Linked DNA regions of Daphnia pulex. The protein of the gene in region 1 binds, or shares a complex with, the protein of each later gene. Links are inferred from orthologs where the notes say so. Each region holds a gene or a part of one and is shown on either strand. Other genes may lie near its edges.

What was found. The genes of interacting proteins can lie anywhere in the genome.
Region 2: mediator of RNA polymerase II transcription subunit 23-like (region 1) and mediator of RNA polymerase II transcription subunit 24-like share a complex: the UniProt entries of both Drosophila melanogaster proteins name them as parts of the mediator complex. The link is inferred for Daphnia pulex from reciprocal best matches to the Drosophila melanogaster genes MED23 and MED24.
Region 3: mediator of RNA polymerase II transcription subunit 23-like (region 1) and mediator of RNA polymerase II transcription subunit 20-like share a complex: the UniProt entries of both Drosophila melanogaster proteins name them as parts of the mediator complex. The link is inferred for Daphnia pulex from reciprocal best matches to the Drosophila melanogaster genes MED23 and MED20.

What each region holds. Positions count from the first base shown.
Region 1 is NC_060019.1:10,885,406-10,894,689, forward strand, and holds the start of mediator of RNA polymerase II transcription subunit 23-like, read right to left. Parts: upstream 5,218-9,284; 5' UTR 5,121-5,217; intron 4,951-5,120; 5' UTR 4,863-4,950; intron 4,640-4,862; 5' UTR 4,419-4,639; intron 1,467-4,418; exon of another isoform or gene 1,293-1,466; coding exon of another isoform or gene 805-1,292; intron 734-804; coding exon of another isoform or gene 655-733; intron 570-654; coding exon of another isoform or gene 473-569; intron 1-472. Other genes in the region: ovoinhibitor-like, read left to right, coding at 473-569, 655-733, 805-1,292; uncharacterized protein LOC124191180, read left to right, coding at 7,241-7,909, 7,984-8,242, 8,326-8,404, 8,481-8,641, 8,707-8,854, 8,926-9,284. UniProt on the Drosophila melanogaster protein: Component of the Mediator complex, a coactivator involved in the regulated transcription of nearly all RNA polymerase II-dependent genes.
Region 2 is NC_060019.1:9,364,169-9,369,750, forward strand, and holds mediator of RNA polymerase II transcription subunit 24-like, read right to left. Parts: upstream 5,307-5,582; 5' UTR 5,115-5,306; coding exon 5,019-5,114; intron 4,946-5,018; coding exon 4,820-4,945; intron 4,736-4,819; coding exon 4,634-4,735; intron 4,576-4,633; coding exon 4,214-4,575; intron 4,158-4,213; coding exon 3,829-4,157; intron 3,771-3,828; coding exon 3,442-3,770; intron 3,385-3,441; coding exon 3,148-3,384; intron 3,080-3,147; coding exon 2,913-3,079; intron 2,856-2,912; coding exon 2,678-2,855; intron 2,609-2,677; coding exon 2,511-2,608; intron 2,444-2,510; coding exon 2,227-2,443; intron 2,145-2,226; coding exon 1,996-2,144; intron 1,936-1,995; coding exon 1,694-1,935; intron 1,608-1,693; coding exon 1,417-1,607; intron 1,349-1,416; coding exon 1,211-1,348; 3' UTR 988-1,210; downstream 1-987. Other genes in the region: bestrophin-3-like, read left to right, coding at 1-710, 777-973. UniProt on the Drosophila melanogaster protein: Component of the Mediator complex, a coactivator involved in the regulated transcription of nearly all RNA polymerase II-dependent genes.
Region 3 is NC_060026.1:11,659,468-11,666,911, forward strand, and holds mediator of RNA polymerase II transcription subunit 20-like, read right to left. Parts: upstream 7,169-7,444; 5' UTR 6,986-7,168; coding exon 6,972-6,985; intron 6,852-6,971; coding exon 6,709-6,851; intron 2,798-6,708; coding exon 2,532-2,797; intron 1,414-2,531; coding exon 1,303-1,413; intron 1,086-1,302; coding exon 993-1,085; 3' UTR 988-992; downstream 1-987. UniProt on the Drosophila melanogaster protein: Component of the Mediator complex, a coactivator involved in the regulated transcription of nearly all RNA polymerase II-dependent genes.

The DNA.
Region 1 (9,284 bases):
CCACTAAATCTTTACAAAATGGCCGCGTAATATGTAGCCTACTGCGTAGTAGAATATAACTCGGTATGCAACCCGCGGGAACAAAGGATTTTGACAGAGGAAAATAGAGCAGGTTACAATGTTAAAAACATCATTGTTTTATGATTCAACAAAAGAATATACTTCCGCTTCATTCTTTCCATCAGTTTGTAGGTAATATGACGTATTCGTCGCGCCATTGAAATCAATAATGTTCTAAACATTAAGGCCTATTGGTTGTCTTTTTTCTCCGAAACGGAACTGAAAAACGGGGGTTATTATTTAAAAAAAAAACGTATGTTGTAACTAAAATGTGGAAATTGTTCCCTTGGATTTTCCCAACATGGAGATATTTAGAAATAATCCCCTTTGGCGCTGGGCGTTTGCAGTCTACAAAATCCTGATGAATCGAGGCACTACAGACGTATAACATAAACAGCAGTACTATATAAAGGTGTCCGTCGATAGACAACATTTTCAGATTTAAAACTTCCTTCGCTCTCCATCGACTCAAACATTTTTCTCTTGAAATGCTTCAGTTCTACTCAAAGGTAAATTATATTATTATTTTTGTAATTATCGGAGTTTGTGCAGACTCTTAAGATAACCAAGATTTTCATTCTTCCAACAATCTAGAATTTCTCATGCTCGTCTCTGTTCCTCATATTTTTCGCCTTAAGCATCGTGATAAGCTACGGACCCGGCGCTTGCGGAGGTGTGCATTTGCTAAAAGTAATACATCATATTTTTGAACTAATAACATTTGCGACTATTTAATTCATGTAGCGGGGATCGGCCGAAAAGCAATCTGTGTCTGCACGTTGCAGTACGAGCCAGTTTGCGCCACAGACGGGAAAACTTACGGCAACCTATGTGCTCTGGAGTGCGACAAAAAGAGCAAAGCTTACGATGGCGAATGTAAATCAACGAAGACAGTCAAGAGAGCGGCGGCTGAGTGTGGATGTCAATTCAAATTCGCCCCCGTTTGCGGAACAGACGGCAAAACCTACGACAACGAGAACTGCATGGAAGTTGAAGTCACTCAATGTGGAACTGTCATCGATTCACCCATCAGGAAGGCTCACGACGGCGAATGTAAAACAACACCCATCAAAGTATCCGAAACACAATGTGGGTGCCCGGACAACTTTGCTCCAGTTTGCGGGACTGACGGAAAGACTTACCCCAATGCGGTATGCATGATCAACACACTCACCAAATGTGGGACCATCAAAACAACTGTAACTATCGCTCGCAACAGCGCGTGTAAGTAATACAGAGAAACCAGGTGACCTTATTGTTGAATCACGTTACCTAGAAAAGCTATGGAAGAATTGAAATTTTTAATAATAGTACGAGTATTATTATCAGTACCCGATCGAAAAATGACCAGCATACTATTTATTTTATTTTTTTAAAACGCCAATAAAAATGTTATCGATCACCGATCTATCTGTTTGCTGCTTTCTTTTCTCGTTCGTGAATTACGATTTAGAATTTGCATATCTAGCGGTCACCTTGGAATGACCACGGAAAGGAAAAGACAAGTCTAGATGTATTTTTATACTTTTTGCTATATAAGAGAAAATGCGCAAAATATTTGCAATGCAAATGAAACAAGATCCGCATTGATATAAAAATGGGATTTTCCCCACTTCAACGTGACGTGCCAAGTTATTTGCCTCGACGCGTTTTTCGATTTGTCTAGAGTCGTTGACCATCATGATTTATCTAAACAACACCATCAGAAACAAAAGACAAAATTCTTTAAGCTGCGCCAGCTAGCGCACTTAGTTGTTTGAGTAGCACTCGATATTTTAACACGACGCATTAGGACGAGTGCAGAATGATGCAACAATATTATTAGTGACGAAATGTCGAGAAGCTGGTGGAAATTCAATTTTCAAGACCTTCATTCAAAGTCGTTACAACCTAATCAAGTAATCTCTTTTTAGCGCAAAAGGAAATTAGAAACCATAACTTAAGTATTACCTTGCGCACACACGTTGAAGGTGATAAGCATCAGAGAGAATTTCGCAATGGTTTAAGAACATATTTCGGGTTGAAAATCTGTTTCAATGCAATGATGGTCAACACACGTAGCAATAAGGAAGTCTAAAGCTCCGAAAAATATCCTAACGACCTTGCACAATTCCATTGAATTTAATTTCTTTCTAAAAGTTACAAAGAACGACGTAAAAGGCGCGGATGGTAGCCCAAAGCGACGTCCTCCCAAATGTGATTGTGATTTATATCAGCTTAAAAACAAGCCCCGAGCGCGACTCATCCTTTAGGCTAGATATAAAAATAAAGGATGGATAAATAAGAAAGTTTATGTCGGGAAATATTTTCTCAAATTAAAATCCAAAATCCCCTTATAACTCTGAAGAACAAGGAGATGATTAACGTTATTTCTGACATTAATTAATCAAACAAAGAATACAAAATAAAAACTGCAAGGAAATTTGTCTTTCACGATGACTCGACTGGCAAGTCAGACGAACAGAAATGTGCCTACGTGATATCCAATGTGAGAATCACGCTATTAAAGCACATAGACACTCGCCGAAATGAATGCTAAATCATTCTTCACCTGACGGCCCTCAAAGCGGAAAGCTTGAGGATGTTGTAAAGGTGTTTAAAAATTCGCATCGCGAACGATTCGAACATTATTTCGAAGGTCACCTTCAATGCTTTATTTGCTTTCGATTGCAACTGTGTTTGTGTGAACGCCAAATTAATTTTTCTAAGCCTCGTATTCGCATTTCGCAGTGCTCCGGCTTGCAAAAGATACAAAATGATTAAATATTTAATTTGCGAATGAATCCGGTGAATCAAATCGGTACAATATTTCGATTTTCAAAACGCCACACCTAGTTTTCTCTGCAATGTGTCAAAGGTCCTTTAAAGTCAATGTCAATGAAAAAGCTAATGTAAACTTGTCTGAGACCGGTCGGCTGGAAGATGTTTTTTTTGTTAATAGTTTAAAGCTATATTCAGCAAATGCCACATCGCCTTTTCCGGTTTTCATCGAGTTCTACCTTTTTCTTTGTCATGAGATTTACGTATATGGTGGTTATCGCTGTGTCAAAGTGCCTAACAGAGTCCAAACTCCTTTTTAAGATTTTTGCCCTTGGAGTTTTATTCGCCTTCATTCACTACGACAACATCCCGACACAAAGAACTCGAGGAAGTAGAATCTCCCGAGCCGCATATGTGCTGCAACACGTCGTATTGTTGTAAGATTGATGACCGGTACAATTAAAGCAAAGCAGAAAAATGTGGCGACAAGGAAAAATACAATAAATTAACTGTTTTCGAAAATTCTGAAACCCAAATTCGAAGAAAGTTAGAAGATAAAATCAAAGAAATTGTCGTGAAACCTGCCGAGATGTTTTCCCCATTGTGAACGAATGGTACACCGCCTGGTTGACAATAGGCGGCGGTGCTGGAATGGTAAATTAGGCCAATCATTATAGGTTTAGGCGTTTAGCCAACATTTGCTAAAAGTGTGACTATCCGCTATCTCTATTGTGTGAACAATATATTATAGTATCTTTGCAAATTAGTCGACTTATACTGCCCTATTTCCAAACAACACCTGAAGTTGTTTTACGTGAAAGTGTAAAATGTCGAGTTAGCAAGTCACTTTACCGAGAACAATTTCGTCGAAGAAGAGGAGAAACAATGTGAACAAAAAATTGTCAACTCAAAATAGGACAATAACGCGGGTGTCAACGTGTGAGGTAAATTGACAATAAGCGTGACCGGAAAAACCCGTGGTTGCGAAATGGCGTTGAGAGAACCACCACTTAATTGTTTTTGGCGCGCCCCTCATCGACTCACGCACAAGTGTGACGTCAAACAATGAATGTTGATGACGTCAAGTGAATAAAAAAAAAATTGTGGCTGACGGAGGCAATTTTCCTGAGGCGAACGAAACCGGGGAAAAATAATGACGTCAGCGTTGTGCATCGAATTTCTTTAACCGTCATGCTGGAAGGTTCCTCGAACAGGATTTGTTGGATAAAACTAGCAGGTTTCTCTTGGGAAAAAAAATAAATTCTAGTTGCACTTTGCTGGAAGTGTTTAAAGTTCAAATATTTTTTTATTTGAGGTTTGTGAACCAACAACAGACAAAGTTGTAAGGTACAAAACTGGGTCTGACCTGCAGTCGTTCTGCAACACTAAAATTTAATGAACTCTTACTTACTGAGTAAACAAAAACTTCGCCTAAATGAACCCTTACTGAGTTATAGTGAGTAAACAAAAACCGCAAGAGAACCTACTCCAGTTAACCGCATCTAGCTCAGGAATAATCGTACTCCGTAGGCTACTATGTCACGATTTAACACCAACAAACAGTCAAAAAATAAAGAATAGGAATACATTTTTCCTACCTTCAGGCCTGGGAAATATACGGACAGCGGGACAGGCATCCACAAGTGCTCTCCATCCATCCGCAGAATAATTGAATAGGATATTAAAGGGCGGCCTCGTGAATACACCCACACTCACATGGGCATACACGAGGCCGTTTAAAGAAAAGGGAAGAAGAGACCCGTAACATGGCCAACATCGATAGTTTCTCAATCCAGAATCCAAACGGGATGCTGTTAAACTAATTAAAAAAATAAGAAATGGGTTACGAAAAAATATCTGCAGAAACAACAAGCAAGGAATAGTTTAAAATGAGACAGTGAGTAAAACTTGATTGTTAATAAACAGACGGTTTACATGTAATACACTGCATTTTTGCAAGTCCTGCATTACATTGCACAATTAAAGTATCTAGCAGGTCACACACCACTCGAATAAAAGTAAGGTGTAATGAAAATCATTACCTAAGCGATGATGCTGAGATTGCTGCTGATGACAGGTCTATGGTTACATCATATCTTGTTGATGGCTGTCTCTGGCCTCAAATATGCACTAAGGAAAAGGTTACATAGTGAACAAACAAACTGCCATGCATCGACAGAGGGGCTTAAATGATAAATGCTGGTCAGGACGAACTAACATTTAAAAAAATTTGGAAAAGGTTTAATTCTTCGAAATTCAGTTTCTATAGTCATTCTATAGGTATTCTTAGTTTTATTTACCTGGTAATCAGCCGTGTGTACGAAGTGATTCTGTAAAGAGAGTAGGCCTAAGAGATGTGACCACAGAGTGGACACGACCACGTTTATTTCGAAACTAAACAAAACAAAAGCAGCAGACGACGCTAACTTCCTAATTAGCCATTTATTTCTTAAAATATCGATATAAATTATTTAAAAAATCCACAAATATAAAAAACACCCACTCAAAATACGATAAAAGTGGTTTTCCCACCCGCACTCGACATCCGCTAAAGGGATCGGAATTATTTTAGAATGATCTAATAACCCTACCACAGACAAGAAAAAAATTCAATATTTACACGAAACCCGCAGATAAATGACTGCCAAGAAGGAATAATTTCCTTCTTATCTTACAAACATATACAAACATAATACATACAAATACCAGGATATAATACCACCATGAACTTAAAAGGTTATATCCTTCAACTGTCGTTCGGGAAAATTCCGCTTGTAATAGCATTTCTTGCGTCCGTGTAAAATAATTCTTATCTTTACATACAAATACCAGGATATTATACTACTATCAACGTAAAAGGCTATATCCTTCAAATGTCGTTCGGGAAATAAGCTCAGCTTGTTGTGGCATTTTTTGAGACCGTATAAATTATCGGTCAAAAAAGCCTGAAATTTAAAAATTTGCGATCACGCATGAATTAACCCCAAGCGTTAAAGATATTTCGTCATCCTGTAACATCTTATACCCATCATGGACTTGTGCAAAAAAGCTCCAATAGAACTAGAAATTTGAAAAGGCCCTTCGACATTGAACACGAACTTTCACGCGACTTCATCTGCATACGAGCGCAGCAGCAGCAGTTTCAAGGGCGTGATGAGAAGAATTTCGAAATGTCAGCTGTAACACACGTTTAATGATTTTTCTTCTCAAGAAAACTTTGAGAATCTGGAAGAAAGAAACAAAAAAAGGTGTTTCCAATTTTTCACAACCAGTTCTCGATCTCAAATAAGAGATTTCGTTCGCAATCAACGCATTTTTTACCTCCAGGAAAATCGTTCGGGAACGACGACCAACAAGGAATTTGATGTCGCGATCTGTTGCCAAGGTCGACTCTACTTCACGCTCGAACCATATGTCTGCGTGAACTGCTGCTCTGTTCTTGCGTCCCACCTGCGACCTTGGTATAGGCAAACCAGTTACTGGCGGTTACCGGTATATATTCAAACTTGCTATTGCTTTGAGGATTCGCTCGGTTGAGCAAATATTGAACGCCAACATAGACATCCACACAAACCACAAATACATAGAAGAATAAATTTTCTTTTGGGAGGCGGCGAATTCGAAGTCTGCAGGCCGCAGGCTGTTTTTTCGTGATAGTGCCCATAAACATCAAAGCTTGCGCCTAGAGTTCCAGTCACGGACCGTTTGCTGGAGGGAGGAATTAGTCTAGTTACTATAAAAATTCAGAGTCCCTCTGAGACGGTTTCCTATTTGACAATCGCAGTTGTTAAAGAATTGGGATATATTACTAGCAACGCGAACCACTCAATACTTAACAGACAGACCGGAAACGGTGTGAAAGATACCCATGATAGACTGGTACTACTCCGTGAACCAATAAATATGACATTTTCGTGGACGTGAAATCGTGAGATATCCAGGAAATGTGACGTCAACAACACGTGAATGTTCTACGCTCTTTGTCTAGTGTTACCGAAACGTTGTGAGGAGATTTTTAACCTTGACTAAGCTCGTTTCGAACGAACGGCAACAACCATCCTACCTGAGGGATACAGCGGGCGTTCTTTTGACTAGAGTGTGTAGCTGCGGGCACGCTCAAAGTATATAGTGCTAGGGGGCGAAAGTGCTGGAGAAGACCGTGCGTTGTGAAGAAACTCAATTGTAATACGTTTGAAGAAAGATACTTAGTCTTTGAGCACACTTCCACGCGGGCGAATGTGTCGGCTGGTGCTCGCTCCTGACACGGACGCGTTTGATCCATTTCTCGTCCAGTTTGCTGCGGTCTACTAATTGCGATCATGGTCCAATCCGGTTTCTACTGGATTAAACACAGCCCTCCGAATTTCCAGCGCACCCCAATTTGAACGATCGCCTACATCTGGTGACCAAAGAAGAGAAAATGGGATTACTTTCGTGTGCCAGCGTCGTTGTGATAACCGTGTTAGCGGAATTAACCTTCGGAGACAAAGTATTCCCGCAAAAGTGCTGCCCTGGAAATCAGGTGTTGGACGTGGAATTGCGCAAGTGCGTCGATAATCCCGCGGTGTTCAAAACCTACCAGGAAGAATCCGGAGTCAACGATCCACTTTTACAGTGTTCCGATGGATGGGAAACTTTCAAAATGGAAAACCAGTCCGTCGACGGTGCCATTGTAGAACCTCGCTACAATCAAACAATAACTCAGTATTGTGTTCATTCCACTGCGTTTAATGATGTTCGTAACGAGACTGTCGTAGCCTACTGCCGCACTCCAGCGCAAGTGAAAAAATGTTGTCCGATGGGCCAATCAGTCAAACGCAATTCGATCATGGAGTGCATCGCCAACGATCGAGTTTTCAACGCTTCCAAAATAGTTACTCCGGCCGGATGGCCATTCAAAGTCGTGGAGAATTCTTCGTTGACTTGCGAATATGATTTCAACATTTACGTGCCAAAAATGTTCGTCGATAACAGATATGAGGTCAACGCATCCGGCTACTTTGTTGTGAAAAGAGCCTTGTACAAAGTATTGCGTCATTCCGACAATTATTGTGTTGATACTGCTGTCGATGCTGAGGGAAACCAAGAGGTATAGTTATATCAGGGTCCTATTAAATGTTAATTTACTACAATGAAGAAACTTTTTCTTTTGATCCCCTTTAGGATATTGCCATGATATGCCTGCCGTGGAGAATGAAATTGGTGCGGTATCTCCTGTGGGGTGTCTATTCGTACCTTCATTACGTCTCGGCTTTCTTCCTCATTTTGACGTTGGCCGTCTATGCCATCTTCCCTCCACTTCGTGATAACATCCAGGGGTACTCGATGATCTGCTTCTTGATTTGTATGATTATCGTACAACTCGAATACGGAATCCTGCTTTCACTTCCCACCGAACCCCACACCTGGTGTTTTTTCAAAAGTAAGAATCTCATATAGGTTAAAATTTATTATTAAAAATTTTATTTAATTATATATCCTTACAAAAAAATTTCTCTTCACTAGCGATTGCTAGTAATTATTTTCGGTATGCGTCCTCAACCTGGATTACCGTGATGGGATTCAACATCTGGAACCAGTTAAAGTAATAACTCACTTTTTTTTACGGCCCTCTCCTTTTGGTGGAATTTTATTTTTCAAATGCAACTGTTTATTTTTAGTTCAGGTCCCAGACCATCAAATAGACGGGACTTGCTCATCCGTTTTGTATTGTGTTCCGTCTACGCTTGGGGATTGCCATTCGTACTACAAATGGCTGTGGTTATTTATCGTGATAGTTTGGGACCACCTGTCCGTCTTTGTTGGTTTGGAAATCCCATAAGTAAATTTCAGTTATTCGTCTTCTTCCTGCAATAATAAAATTAACACACATGGATTATTTTTCAGTCAAACATTTACTGAGCACACCGAACGTCATTCTGGTGACGGCCAATTTGATTTTCTTCATTCCAAGCGCTCTTAAAGTTCATGGAAGTCTCCGTTTCCTTAAAACTTCTGTTTCGCCCGTGGCTCTCAGCAAATTGGAAAAACAAAGGTTATATCTAAATATGAATAGTTTCATGGTGATGTAACAAATGTTGCTTACCGTTCCTTTTTTTTACGCAGGATTACGACGATATTCCGTTTCTTCTTACTGATGCAGTTTTACACGATACCGAGAATCGTTCACGAAATAGTCGATTCAGACAATGCCACTCCCGAATTGCTCATCTTCAGTATTTCTCTCTACATGTTGATCGGACCGGCCATGTTTTACTTTTTCGTTTGCAAAACCGAAGTTTACAAAATGATTAGGGACCGTGTGGTCAAAATCAAGGAATCTGCTTCACGTGCCACCAGTAATTCGACAAAAATATCTTCGGGCTCCGTGAAGTTCTGGCGCTCACGATCATACCAAACTTCTTCGGATGAATCTCCTGCAATTGAGACCAGCGATTCCAAGCCCTCAAACATTGAGGCAATCA
Region 2 (5,582 bases), about 1.5 Mb from region 1:
ATCGATCACATTGTTCTACGCTTTCGCTTTGGACACTGGCGGCCAGGCAAATTTTGATGCCGTGGCTAGCTATTTGGCGCGATACACTTCTAGCTTGCCCGTCGTTCTGCTCTTGGGTTTCTTCACTTCAACAGCACTTAATCGCTGGTTCAACATAATGTCTAGTATGCCTGGAACCAACCGAGCGATCACACTTTTCGTTGTGTCGCTCAAAGAAGAAGTTGCGGATGGTCGTGCCAGAGTTGACCTGTACATCCGTTACGTTCTGCTTATGTGGCTCCTCACATTCCGCATTGTCTGCCAACCATTGAGAAAAAGATATCCTAATCTGATGGCAATCCAGAATGCAGGATTACTATGCGAGAACGAACGACTTTTACTGGAAAAGCACAAAGGGCAGCCTGGCGGTACTTCGAGGACGTGCTCTCTAGTCGTCTACGATTGGTTAAACGGATTGTTGCGGGACACTTCTCAGAAAGGATACTTTTTCGTTGCTAATGATTTCGGTCGCAACATCGATGCTATCCAGGCCTTGAAGAAAGGTGGTGGAACAGTAATTAAATTTGCTACAAAGAACATTCCTGTTGCCCTGATTCAAGCTGTGACAATTGCCATCTATTGTTACGGACTCGTGTCTATATTGTCCCATCAAATAGCGGAAAAACATTATTTGACATCGGTGATGAGTGGTTATTTTCCGTTGCCCTACGGTACGAATGACCACAAATTTCAAAAAGTGTTTTGTTGTTTTAATATTATACCTTTTATTATTGCAGCTTTGCCATTCTTTTTTTACTATGCCTGGCTCAAAGTAGGCCGAATTGCCACTGACCCATTTGGTAACGATGAAGACGACATCAATATGCTAAACGTTTTCGAAGGCCACATCAATGGGGCGGTACGCTTGCGCAACTCCTACGGGATTAAAATTCCAACTTCGACAACAGAAGACAGCCCCTTCTTTTTGACATAAGCTAACATAGCTGATTTCTTACTGAAAATTCATTATATTCCGAAACTGATGTGAACAAAAATTGAAAATTACAATTTCTTGACAATGCGAATTTTTCGTTCTCTCAGATTTCCACAGTAGGCGAAATGCTCAGAAGGTGATTTCCAGCAAAATTATAAGAGTATCGTCACTTTGAAGTCGGTCAGCGAATACTTTTTGAACAGAAAATTGTTATCCATTTCTGTTCCTTGTTGTGGACTAATTTATATTCTTGAATGCACAAACGATCTGCGCAGCGATTTTCCCGACACCCATTTCATCGCCGGGATGAGCCAACAGTTTGGCAACATCTGAAATGGACATTAACCCGGGCCAAACGGCAAGCATGTAAAACACCTTACGGAAGTAGAAAAAGATTTTGAAAGAAAACTCCGACGTTAATTTTGTAAAAAAAAAAGATTTACCAGAGCTGGAGGAATTAAGGTCAAAAGAGGTCTCATGACTTCTTTGGTTTTGATTGAAGTTATTTCTGCCATCGTTTGAATGAAATAACTAATGAACGCAAGCTGCGGAGTAATAATGCCTTCACCAGCGGCTCGGGTCATTAATTGCATTAAATTTGCAATTGCATTGGAGAGTGGATTATTTTCATGGGCTGAAAACAAATATCAATATGTCAGGGTTTCAAATAATCTTAAAAAAACAAACAAAAAAAAACAACAAAACAAATCAACAACTTACCGCTGTTAGGAGCTACAAACATAAAGTCAAATTCCTCCTCATGAAGAGCCATCTTTTTCAAAGGAGGATATCGAAAACCCGGCGTATTCATATCCCAATCGATTGAACGTTTTGAACCCAACTTTTTGGAAGGGCTGGATGAGTCGGATTCTGGGGCTAACTGGTTATTCAACGCAGCGGTAAACAGCAGGACAGTCAACTGGGCTAACGCTTTGCCGCCTGGTCCACCGGTTTCTTCGTCACTGAAATAAAAAAGGAATGTTAACTGGGATTGGCATTACGCTGAGGCCAAACCCTTTTACCTGGCCAGCATTGAGGAGTGAGTTAGTAGGAATGGGAGTACTCTGGTTGCTAAAGAAATGGCACAGCTTTCTAAATCTAAATGTGCAACTGACAGCGCTCCTTCGACGCACCGTTGTCTTTTGTCAGAAGATTGCTCTTTAATAACTGCCTGCGAGACACAAAGAAAGGACATTCAATCGCATACCCATACCTGCTAGGCTTGTCTAGGATAAAGTTCTTTGATTAAGTACCTTGACCAAAGAAGTGACCAACCATGTTGCTCCACCAATTTTGAATAGTTGATCAATACCCACTGTTGTGCTATGGTCTGACCAACCATGATTTAAAATCTTATTCCATAATTTGGTTAACTGATGATCCAAACTTTGATCTTGATTCTCTGAGACGCTTTGTAGGGGATTGTCGTCTTGTGCCAGACGCCGAATGATTTGCAGCATCAATACTGACCTTAATGGAAAAAAGAATTTTATAGTGAACGCGAAAAATCATTTGTTAGGGCATTATCGTAATTTACCTTTCCCTATAATGCTCTTTAGAGTCATCAAGATTCAGGGAAGTCATCAAATGATCGAGCATGCTCGTGGGCTTACTTTTCAGATTTGCTGGTTGTACCTAAAGGAGATGTCCACCGTATTTTAATTCGAATCTTTTTGATTTTTTTTTAATTGGATCTTTTCTTACTTGGATGTAAAATCGAAGCCAAGCGGCAGCACAAACAGACAGACAGCACATTTGAGTCCGTAAAGTATCGAGAATCCTTTCAACTTCTTCATCAGAAACTAATTGTGATTCGTAAGCCCCCAAAATTTCCCGTATTACAGCAGGGACGTGGAAACAAGCTTCGTGCCATCGAACGCTCCTATGAATAGAAATGGGCTTATTATTTTTCAAGAAAAAAATGGCGAGATTATTTTACCCTGATCTAAGGTCACTCTCTCCAGATGTCAAGGCTTTCAATAACTGATCAGTCAACATGGGATCGCAGCGACTTAATGACAAATCAGGCGCCTGATTAGGTTTCAGCCATTCTGAAGCCCACTGCTCAAAGAAAGTCTCCCCTCCTAGTTCACCACTCAGTATCACCTATCGATCATTAGAACAAGTAACATCAGAAGGCATTCAGGTGTGAATTATTAGATGATTTTCATTACCTCAATGCCGTACATTTGCGTAATACGGCAGAGCATTAGAAATGAGATGTCAAAGAGTAGAGCCCTTGCATTTGCAGTTTTACTTGGATCGGAACCAGCAGGTTGGCGATTCGCTTCGTTAAATCGCACGAGTTTTGTGGCAAAAGCTCGGAGTTTACCAGTCCCAGTTGCAGCGTTCAGTATGAGTTCGAAGCTTTGCCCCGAAAGCAAATGAGATAAAACTTTCAACAGCGTGTCCTAAAATGAAGATGTTATTACTTGCTCTACGTAATTCTCTACATTTTCCTTGATTACCTGATTTTTAGCGTAATCAGTATCCAACGTTTTCAGAATACTGGCCACCGTTGGCTCAGCACGAAGAACCAAAGTAGCTATTTGTGTGTTAGTGGTCTCTAACTTCAGACCTCCGCGGGATAGACTTTCTCTTTTGCTGAGGATGCTTGTAACATGCCATTCAGATAAAAGAGATGTCCGTATTTTCACTTCATTTAATAAACCTTCGACGACATTGCAATGGCATTTGGCATCGGTTGTTTCTAAAAGTCCAGGATAGCAAAGAAGGCGCTCAAACGCACCCGCGACTTCCGGACTTGGTTCTCCAATAGGCGAATTTGGATCCAATCCTGGATAAACGAGAATTTAATAGAACAGTTTGAAATTTTAAAATATTGCTAATCGTACCAAAAATTGATCGATGAAGTCGGAGTAGTAATGACGGTGCCTTGAGGAAAGTGAATACAGCCCAACGTAGCTCTCCAGGAGAATCAGCAGTTTCGGCTAGTCCTAGGCAACACGCTCTGAGGATTTCGCAATAGAGCTGGGTGGGTGAATAGCCTCTTAGTTTCTGTAGAACTTCCAACTGTCGAGTCAACTCAAGGCCATCTGACGTGGGGCGAAGCAACGCCTCCCAAGATATTAATGTATGTACGTCTGTGCACAATGAGTTCTCGTAAAAGGGCTTTTCGGGACCATTTTCTTTGAATAGATCATTTTCAAATGATCGGCATTGCCTGTGGAGAATTTGTTTTAATGACCACTCATTGACGAAGAACATCAAATGAAGTACCTCATGACTTTTTCGACAGATTCCACAAGTTTTTCTGATGACGGATTCCCATTAGTAGTTAAATTTTTCAGGTTGGACTCAGTTTGGTTTACAAGCGATGTAAGATGAGTTGCTGAAAACTGATCATTAGTGCAGCAACGTGCAATGTATAGAAGAGATATTAAATAGTTCTCTTCATACAAAGTCCCCAGTAATCCTGTAGTATAATGGCAAATGACTGAATAGTCATTGGTTGCACTATTATTATCAAATAGTTTTTTTAGTCCATCAGACGTAAGACTCCAAAGCCAAGTTTCCAAAGACAATAGAGAAGCAGCTAAAGCAGCAGGCCCATCGCCAGATCCAGTACATGAAATATGTTTCTAATAAATAATATTGTTAAAACCATATCTCAATTTAAGACTGAATGGGAAAAGTTACTATTGATTGCTCCACCAAAAGTAGTAACTCCAAAAGGCATCTGGTTTTCTGGATACTACCTTGAAGGCAGATATTTTCGAAAACAGCACTGTAGGAAACAATCTAAAACACACAAATGGTATGCAATTAAATATTAACAAGCAAAACAAAATGTGTTTAGTAATTGAATTAAAGTTGTGGTTTTACTTGAACATGTAATGAATGCTGTAGATATGACAACAACTTTGAATTTGGAGATGGTCCGATCAAAGCCTGCTGTAAAATGCTTTCTGCTAGATTATATGTATCTCCAGTTGATCCTGCTGGTATTACCTTTATGTAAAGAAAGTTTAATTTAAAACTGGTAAAGATATTTTTTTTTGTTACGAAATTACAGTTAAAGTACCTCTTTGACATATATCCCCCACATGAGATCTGTCCAACGTTCCCTCCAAGCCTTCCTCATCAAGTGCTTGAGCTTTTGCTCTACACTTTCAGTCATCCTCTCGATTATAGAAATTTCAAGCTTAATAACCTAAAACACAATTTAACAAACATATGTTGAAGTACGCCACAATTATTCGTTAAATTCTGAAGGTGAGGTGAAATTTTTGAGTTTGTGGTTTGTAGAGGAGCGTTCAAAGCAGACGACACGGTATACCATAAACACCCCAGCGGTGAAAAGTGGAACTACAAATCATTTTGACATTTTCGCGTGGAATTCAAACTACCAGCAGCAACGAATCGACCAATTAGTGTTTTACGTGCTTAACAAACGATCCCCCACTTGAAGGCCAATCCGTGTTCGGTGTTTTCAGAACCAAATCAATTTGACAATTTTAGTATAAAACAAAATAAATCTATGTTAAAACTTTTAGTTTTAACATCGGTTTACGTAACAGAAAGAATTTGGTCGCGGTTAAATGGTACACGAATTTTGTATGTATTTACGGATAGCTTTCATAACATG
Region 3 (7,444 bases), on another chromosome or scaffold:
AAAAGGTCAGGATAGATAGATGGAAAAAGTTGTGTGGTATCAGGTATAAGCCGGCGAACGTCTTGCGCTGCTATTCCAAACATGTAAACAGATCAAAAACAGACGCCGGCAAGAGAGAGAGAGTGTACACATAAACAACACACTTCAAGAGAGTGATTTCGTACGCCGTATAAACTGCTGTTAGACTATATATATATGTATACAGCCCTGCTGGAAATAGCATCCACCGTCGCTCTTTTACTTCTCTTATTACATCAGAAACTGTCGACTCCTCTGTGACCCCCCCGCAATCAAGTGGCACGACGTCGTCGGAGTCTCTTGTTTCATTCAAACCGAGAACGATATCAAAGCAGATGGAACACGACGGCATACACCGTGGAAATCTCCTTTGTGTCTAGTCAGCAATTTGAATTTTTGAAATGGGGGGAAAAAACCGCGCCATTTTTTAAATAATGTTCAAAAAATTCCGGGAAAAAATGAGGATAGCAAATGGCACTTGGTACACACACACACACACAACAGAGAACCCCTAATGGCCATCCATTGAGGTGATGATGTGTTTGTTTAGAAACGGGAAGCCCACAAAATCAACACAATAAAAGAAGAAGAAGAGAGAAAGTTGTCCTCTTGATTTTTCTTGTTGACTTAAAGTTTTTTAAAAAAAGCGCCCGGAAGAAAAGCGGGAAACTTTGAAAAAAAAGTCCAAAAAATACAAGAAGGGTCGAGTGTGTGTGCAAAGGTGGGCGACGGCGGTTTTTGAATCAACACGGTTAAAGAGAAAATAAAATAAAAAACATTTAGTTTTTTTTTCTTTTTCCAAAAGGATGGATAATAGAGTTGTACCCAAGTAACATAGAAAAACACCGGAGCGGCGGAGTTCTTTTTATTTTCTTTATTTGTATTTTTCCTTTTTTATTTTGTTGTAGCAATGGCGCGTTTTTGTTGTTGTTGTGTAAGGGCAAATAGAGTTGTTGTTTGTTGTGTTTGTCGATCTATCGGATGCCGGTGGTTTTGCGGAAAGCGTTGAACTGCTCCAGGTACTGATTGATGCCGTCGATAGTGCCCAGCATGTCGCCGAATCGGCTCTGATGGTCCGTCACGGAACAGAAAAAAGATTTATGCATCCAGGAAAAAAATAGAGAAAAAAATAAAAAAAATTTTGTTAGACGAATTGGAATAATAACAACATGACGAAAGGCAAACATCGTAAATTCTTATTTGATATTGATGGGGATGAAGAAGAAAAAAATAAAATAAAATTGTTTTGAGCCTATAGACGGGCAGCAGGAAGAAGGAGCAGACCTGGATGTACGGAGGCGGAGTAGATGGGACGCAACCGCCCAAGAAGCCCTGCATGAACTCGCGGATCAGATCCCAACAGGCGGCCGGCAGACTGCACGCTTGATATTCCACCTGTCAAAACGGATGGCAAAAGTTATCTCTCCGATAGAATCGATCGGGAAAACAAAAAAATTGTTTCTCATCCATATAAACAGACCCTGCAGACGTCGCTGGCTGGCTGTTGTTATTATTGTTGTTGCGAGTGTCAGCGGGAGTATATGAAATCAATATTCAGCCGAGTCAGAAAATGTTCGCCCCCAAAAACTCATTTGAAATTCCATGACATCTCAACAACAAAACCAAAAAATAAAATAAAACGAAACAAGGAGAAGATGAGAAGAGCCCATGACGTAACAACACAGACGGAGAATATCACGCGCCTTCCAGTTGTGCCGCGTTTTTCTTCTCTTTTCTTCTCTTCTTCTTCTTCAATGGAAAAAGAGAAATAAAAAGGCCCCGATGGTTGGATGGATGATCAATTGTTTTGTTCACAACATCAGCCCGCCCCAGCGCCAACACACTCGGCTCGTGTACGATAATAAGAGGCACCCAAAAGAGCGAGGAACTCTCTCGAGTCACGAATAATCAAAGAACCAAGAAAACCAAGAAAACGAGACAGAGTCTCTTTTCTTTCTCCCGTTTTTCACATCAACATTGACTCAGCCCTTCTCTCTCTGTGGCTCTATTCAAGCGTCCATCATCACAAATATTAGCCCAAACCCGTCAGAGCCAGCTCGTAGACTCGTAGTGATTTGATCATTTCAAATAATTAAATTTCTCCCACCCAACCCCACTTTTAATTCAATATTGACAAGCTCATTAACTGTCTGAAACCTTCCCGAGTGAAATGAAAAGAAAAAGAGGCGCTTGCATATTTAGTGCTGGATGACCGAAAACGGAAAAAAAGAACCATCACGCGGAGATTGTAAACACAGAAGAAGAAGAAGCTGGAAAAGCTCTAGCTCTAGCTCTCCCTCCACACACAGAGAAAACGGATGTTGTCAAAGGGTTTTCTTGTTTTTCAAGAGGCCAGAAAAAAGCCTCTCATCATTATTACCTTGTAGGGAAAGAAAAAGGGAGACAATCGACAGCGTCAAGTCGAGATAGAGATGGAAGTTTTTGATGTCGTTATTGTCTATGCACTAACGTGGGATATTGGTTGGTTGGTTGGGTTGCTGTTTAATGTATACCTCGACTAGGATGCCCTTGAAGGCCGGTCCCATGGTGACGGAGCCGAGCTTGACGAGGAAGTCTCCGGCTTCGAAGCGCGGCCCTCTCGATTCGATCTTGGTCTGCTTCTTGGCCGTGTAGAAATTGGAGAGCTTGAGCATGAGCAGGTCGAACAAGTTGTCGGCCACCAGGGCCACCGTCTTGTTGCCGCTGGCCGCCTCCAGCAGAGCGAACACGGAGGCCGGCGTCTCGGAATTGTGCAGCAAATGCACCGATCTCGGCGCTCCTGCCAAATGAAGAAACCAAAAGTTTAATGATTTTAAATAATAAAAAGAAAATGAATGATAAAAACACATTGGCGTTTAACCCTCCCACATCACAAGACATGAGAGAAATCAAATTTCCTACGAAAAAAAGAAATTGAGCCAGATTGGCAGTTTGCAAAAACAAGGGCGATAGACAAGTTGATGGCGTCATCAGTCAAGTCCCGCCGGATAATGATGATGGCGCCTAGCCCCCCGTCTGTCTCTTTCTCCTTTTTTTTCGGATTTTTTTCCATCTCGTCGGAGGATTTGGTTGGAAATGCTCGCAAATGGCAACTCGAAAAAGCTTGCGGGCAACTCTCCAACATGTCAGATAAACCACAAACAGCCGCAGCCTTCCGTCGCCCCCGTCTCTCTATTCCTCCTCTTCCTCCTCCGCTACCGACGACAACAACAACAACAACAACCCCCACGAAAAAAAGAACTAAAGCGCACGCCAAGTGTCGGGAGGAAACCTTGGGCATTAGGGAGAAAGAGAAAGAAGAAAACAATAACTATGCGCGCCAGTTGTTCTCAATCTTCAACGAGTGTGACGTCAAACCTCACCATCAACTTATCTCTTCTTCTTCTTTCTCTTTCCTCCTCTATTTCCACCCCCGACGGAGGGAGAAAGAAAGAAAAGAAAGAAAAAATCAAACAAAACAAGGAAACCACAAAAGCACGGAGTCGGTAGGCAGTCATGTGTGTTGTTGTGTTGTGTATAGCAGCTGGGCGGATCGGTAGCGCCCGTCCACTTGATATCTAGACGTGAAGCAGGTATATCTCTCTATATATTCGTGCATGTGGATATACATATAGCCAGAAGAAGAATATAAGAACAAGGATTCCTCTTCAGATTTTCCTGCCCACATTCTACCCATTAACTGCGTTGGTTATTTTCAAAATAGAAAATCAAAATAAAATGTTTTTTAAAAAATTGGAAGCTAAGAAAGAAGAGAAAGAAAAAAGAGCCATTTGAAAAAATACTGCTTCGAGATAAGACATCAAGTGGCTTCTACTTCTTCTGGGATTCTTTCCAGCCTCCCTCTGCTTTTTTTTCTTTGGTTGGAAATAAAAAATCAATTCTATTCCAATACGCTCTCTCATGACGCGGGAAACTTAAATTTTCAGTGTAATTCAAATGTCTTTTTTTTTGGGGGGGGGGGGGAAAGAGGAGGGAATTTCAAACGTGGAAGAGAAGGAACTCTGCGGGGAGGAGGAAATCACTGTGTGTGCGAGATTTTCTTCTTACTCCGACCGGAGCTGCTGCTGTTTTTTGGGATGGGGGATGTTGTTGTTGTTGTTGGACCCCGGCTGCAAAGTCTGCGTCTGTCTCTCACACGAGATGAGGCTGGAGAAAAACTTCTTCTTCTTCTTTAGGCCCAATCGGTTCGTGACACGCGATATCTCTCACGAACGATTCCCACACCACGTCGCAGAGTTAGATCAAGAGAGAGGCCCTGACCAATCTCAATCGAGTAGAGATCCCAAACACCCGACAAAAGGGCAACCAACCCAATGTGCTTTCTCGCTCACTTCTTCTTCTTCTTCTTCTTTTACAAGGAACTTGGTGATATTCCATCAGGCTCACATCATCCCCCCCGGTAATAGGATACATCTTCTTTTATTTCCTGGTGTGGTGGCTGCTGCTGCTGCCCTTTTCTGTGTTAAACCAAATCAATCCAGCTCGTGAATTATTCAACGCATTCCAATCAACTTATGGACGCTTCTTTTCTTCTTCTTCTACTTCATGTATAACCTCCTCCTCTTTCACCTGATATAAAAATATTTTCTCTCTTTCCTTCTCTTTTGCGCCATCCCCCGATCGGAATGTCTTCATTTCGGACGGACGGACGGGGAGATTTCTCGACGAGATCTTCTTTCTCTCGCCCCCCTACCGTAGCACAGAGGAAAGGTTAACCAAAGGTAATAATTTACCTGCCTTCCTAGTTCTTTTTTTTTTTTTTATTTTTATCATACGAAACAAACGGCTTTCACCCCCCTGTAGGAAGGTGTGGTTATACACCCGGGGTAAAATCAGAAAGAAAAAAGAACGGGGGAAAATGTTTTATACACACGAGCCCTTAACGATTGAAAGATCACAAATAATAAAACACACAGGAGAAAATGAAGTTGGACAACTTCAAAAAGAGAAAACGTTTTTTAAGACTCTCTTTTCTCCGCGTCTTTTTAAAGGGTCATTAAAAAACATTTGGTTAAAGTCCAGAGGGGGCTCCCACAAGCTCAGATTTCATCATTCCAACTTGATCGTTTTGGAAGAAAAAGAGAAAAAAATAAAAAGATGAAAATGTCCGCGTTTCTTTCACTGATAGATTCTCCTACTTCCCAAAAACTCGCCAAGTTGGCCCGTCCTGTGTAGGTGTCAGCTGAGAAAACTCGTACGGGGGTGCGGAGAGATTCAATTTCACAGATGAACGGCACAGACTGACGGCCAGATGTAGAGAGGATACCAAGTGGGGGGAACGCCGGAAAACAACAGAAAATCGGCGAAATCGGCAAAAAAGAAGAGAGGAGTGTGCTCGCGCTATGGTCTTCTGTTGGAGACGGGAAAAGATATTGCGACTATTTGTTCCTTTTTCAACATTTTTTTTTATTATTTTCGGTCCGAAACTGGCCGGCCCCCCTCTCTATTTCCGTGACGACACGAATCACGCCCAAGATTGACGACAACAAGAAAGTTTGGGGGGAACGGTTCCCTCCTCTTCAGATGCGCTCCGGGAGGGGGGTTTTCTAACAAGAAGAAGGAGGAGGCTTCGTCGCATATATATCTCTACTACTCCTTTTTCCCTTGTAACTTATTAAAACATTTCAAGAATGTGTCGTGTGTATCTGCTGGCTCCACCCCTTTTGATTTCCAGTCGCTTGAAATGTGTGCGAAAATGGAAACTAATTGTGAAAAAAAGGAATGAAGTGGAGAGAGAGGGGATGAAGCTATTTAAATGTAAACATGTCGAGACAGAGCTATTCTCGGTCGTTCTTTTTGCCAAGTGGTGCACACAAGTCAGCTGATGGCCCTGTGGCGTATCAAATACGCTTGACATCGAATTGCCGAGTTAGACGAGAGAGAGAGAAGAGAAAGAGAGTCGAGAGAGGCTACGGATCGATGAAACAAAAGACGCCAACTGTATCAACGCTCAGCCTTAACAGACTTAAGAGACAATAAGGCGGCGGCGGCGGCAGCAGACGGGCAGATTCAACGTCGCGGAATGGCAGTAGAACAATGCGGAATCGAAATACGAAATTCAAAACAAAAAAATTAATAAAAAGAAAAAAACAAATTTGTTTTTTTTCACGAATTGAATGGACCGTATGTCATCGGTCCCAGAGGCGTCCGTGAGTCAAAGAGCCAAGGACGGGCAAGTATATATGTTGACAGCTTGTCACTAGCGCACGTAGGACGGCCTACCTGAATTACCCGGCAGAACGAATCGTTTTAGGGGGAAAAAAAAGCTAGCTTCACTCGACACGGTCCTTAAATAAAAGTTGGAATAGCAAAAAGGGAATAAAGAAAACTAAGCAAAGAGTTTGGGAGGAAAAAATAAAAGAGGTAGAGACATCCATATGTGGGAATGGAAGGGGAGGAAATTTACAAGTCAGGTAGTGTGTTTTGCTCGTAAAAGGTGTTTAGAGGATTCGGATATCTCGTGTGTTACGTGTCGAGCGGATGGTTAAAATCAAAAGAACTCGGTGCCCTCCACATTTGAGTTATTCAAATGTAGAGATGGGTGGTGCCATCTGGTTATGGGAAAGCTGAACAGTTCCAACGGTGGACTTGGAGCTGGTAAAGTGAGCAGCAGATGGGTCTGCTGTCACAACTTGTTTACCACCATGGACTTGAATCGGGAAAAATGTAATAGAAGATTGTGTTTTTTACCCAATGATGCAGTAGAACTGTAAGTTTCACAATCCACGATGAAGGATCCACTAAGAACAGCTCCCAGAGCAATGGCCCGTTTGGTCAACATTTCAATAACCTGAGGACCGGACTTGCCTTCAGGAACAGCAAACAGTTGTAAACTAAAATTGAAAAACAACATCAAATTAGTAATTATTTCATACAAACTTGTGATTCAATTAATGGTTCCTTCATTTGAATGAAATGTGATAAAGCTGAGAGACACTGAATGCTTTACTCACACTATGACACCCATGATGTTGTTACAGGGTCAACTAGGTAAATTCCACACACAGTCGACTCCCCGAAATTACACCTGAATGTTTATATTCTATTCCTATACTTAATTACAAAACAAAAAGATGAAAAAGAAAGTCACGTTTGTTTCAAAACAAACTGCTTTTCGTGCCTGTCAGAAAGACCGGCTTCGATATAAGTATCGATATGCTCCTTAACAATCGATCAATCGATTTTCCTTTTTCTTGATTTTTACTATTTAAAAATAGATTGGGGAAAAGTCGGAAAACGGGAACACAAACAAGAGCTGTGAAACCTTGAAGCATTCACACTCCTCCCCTTGACAAAAACAAAAAAAAAAAAAACGGGTGAGAAATATCATCCAATATTCACGTACGACAGTTCTGAAGTGAGAAAAACCTCGCGTCGAGCATTTGTAAGAAAAAGTGGGTGGGAACCGGATGAACACTATACTACA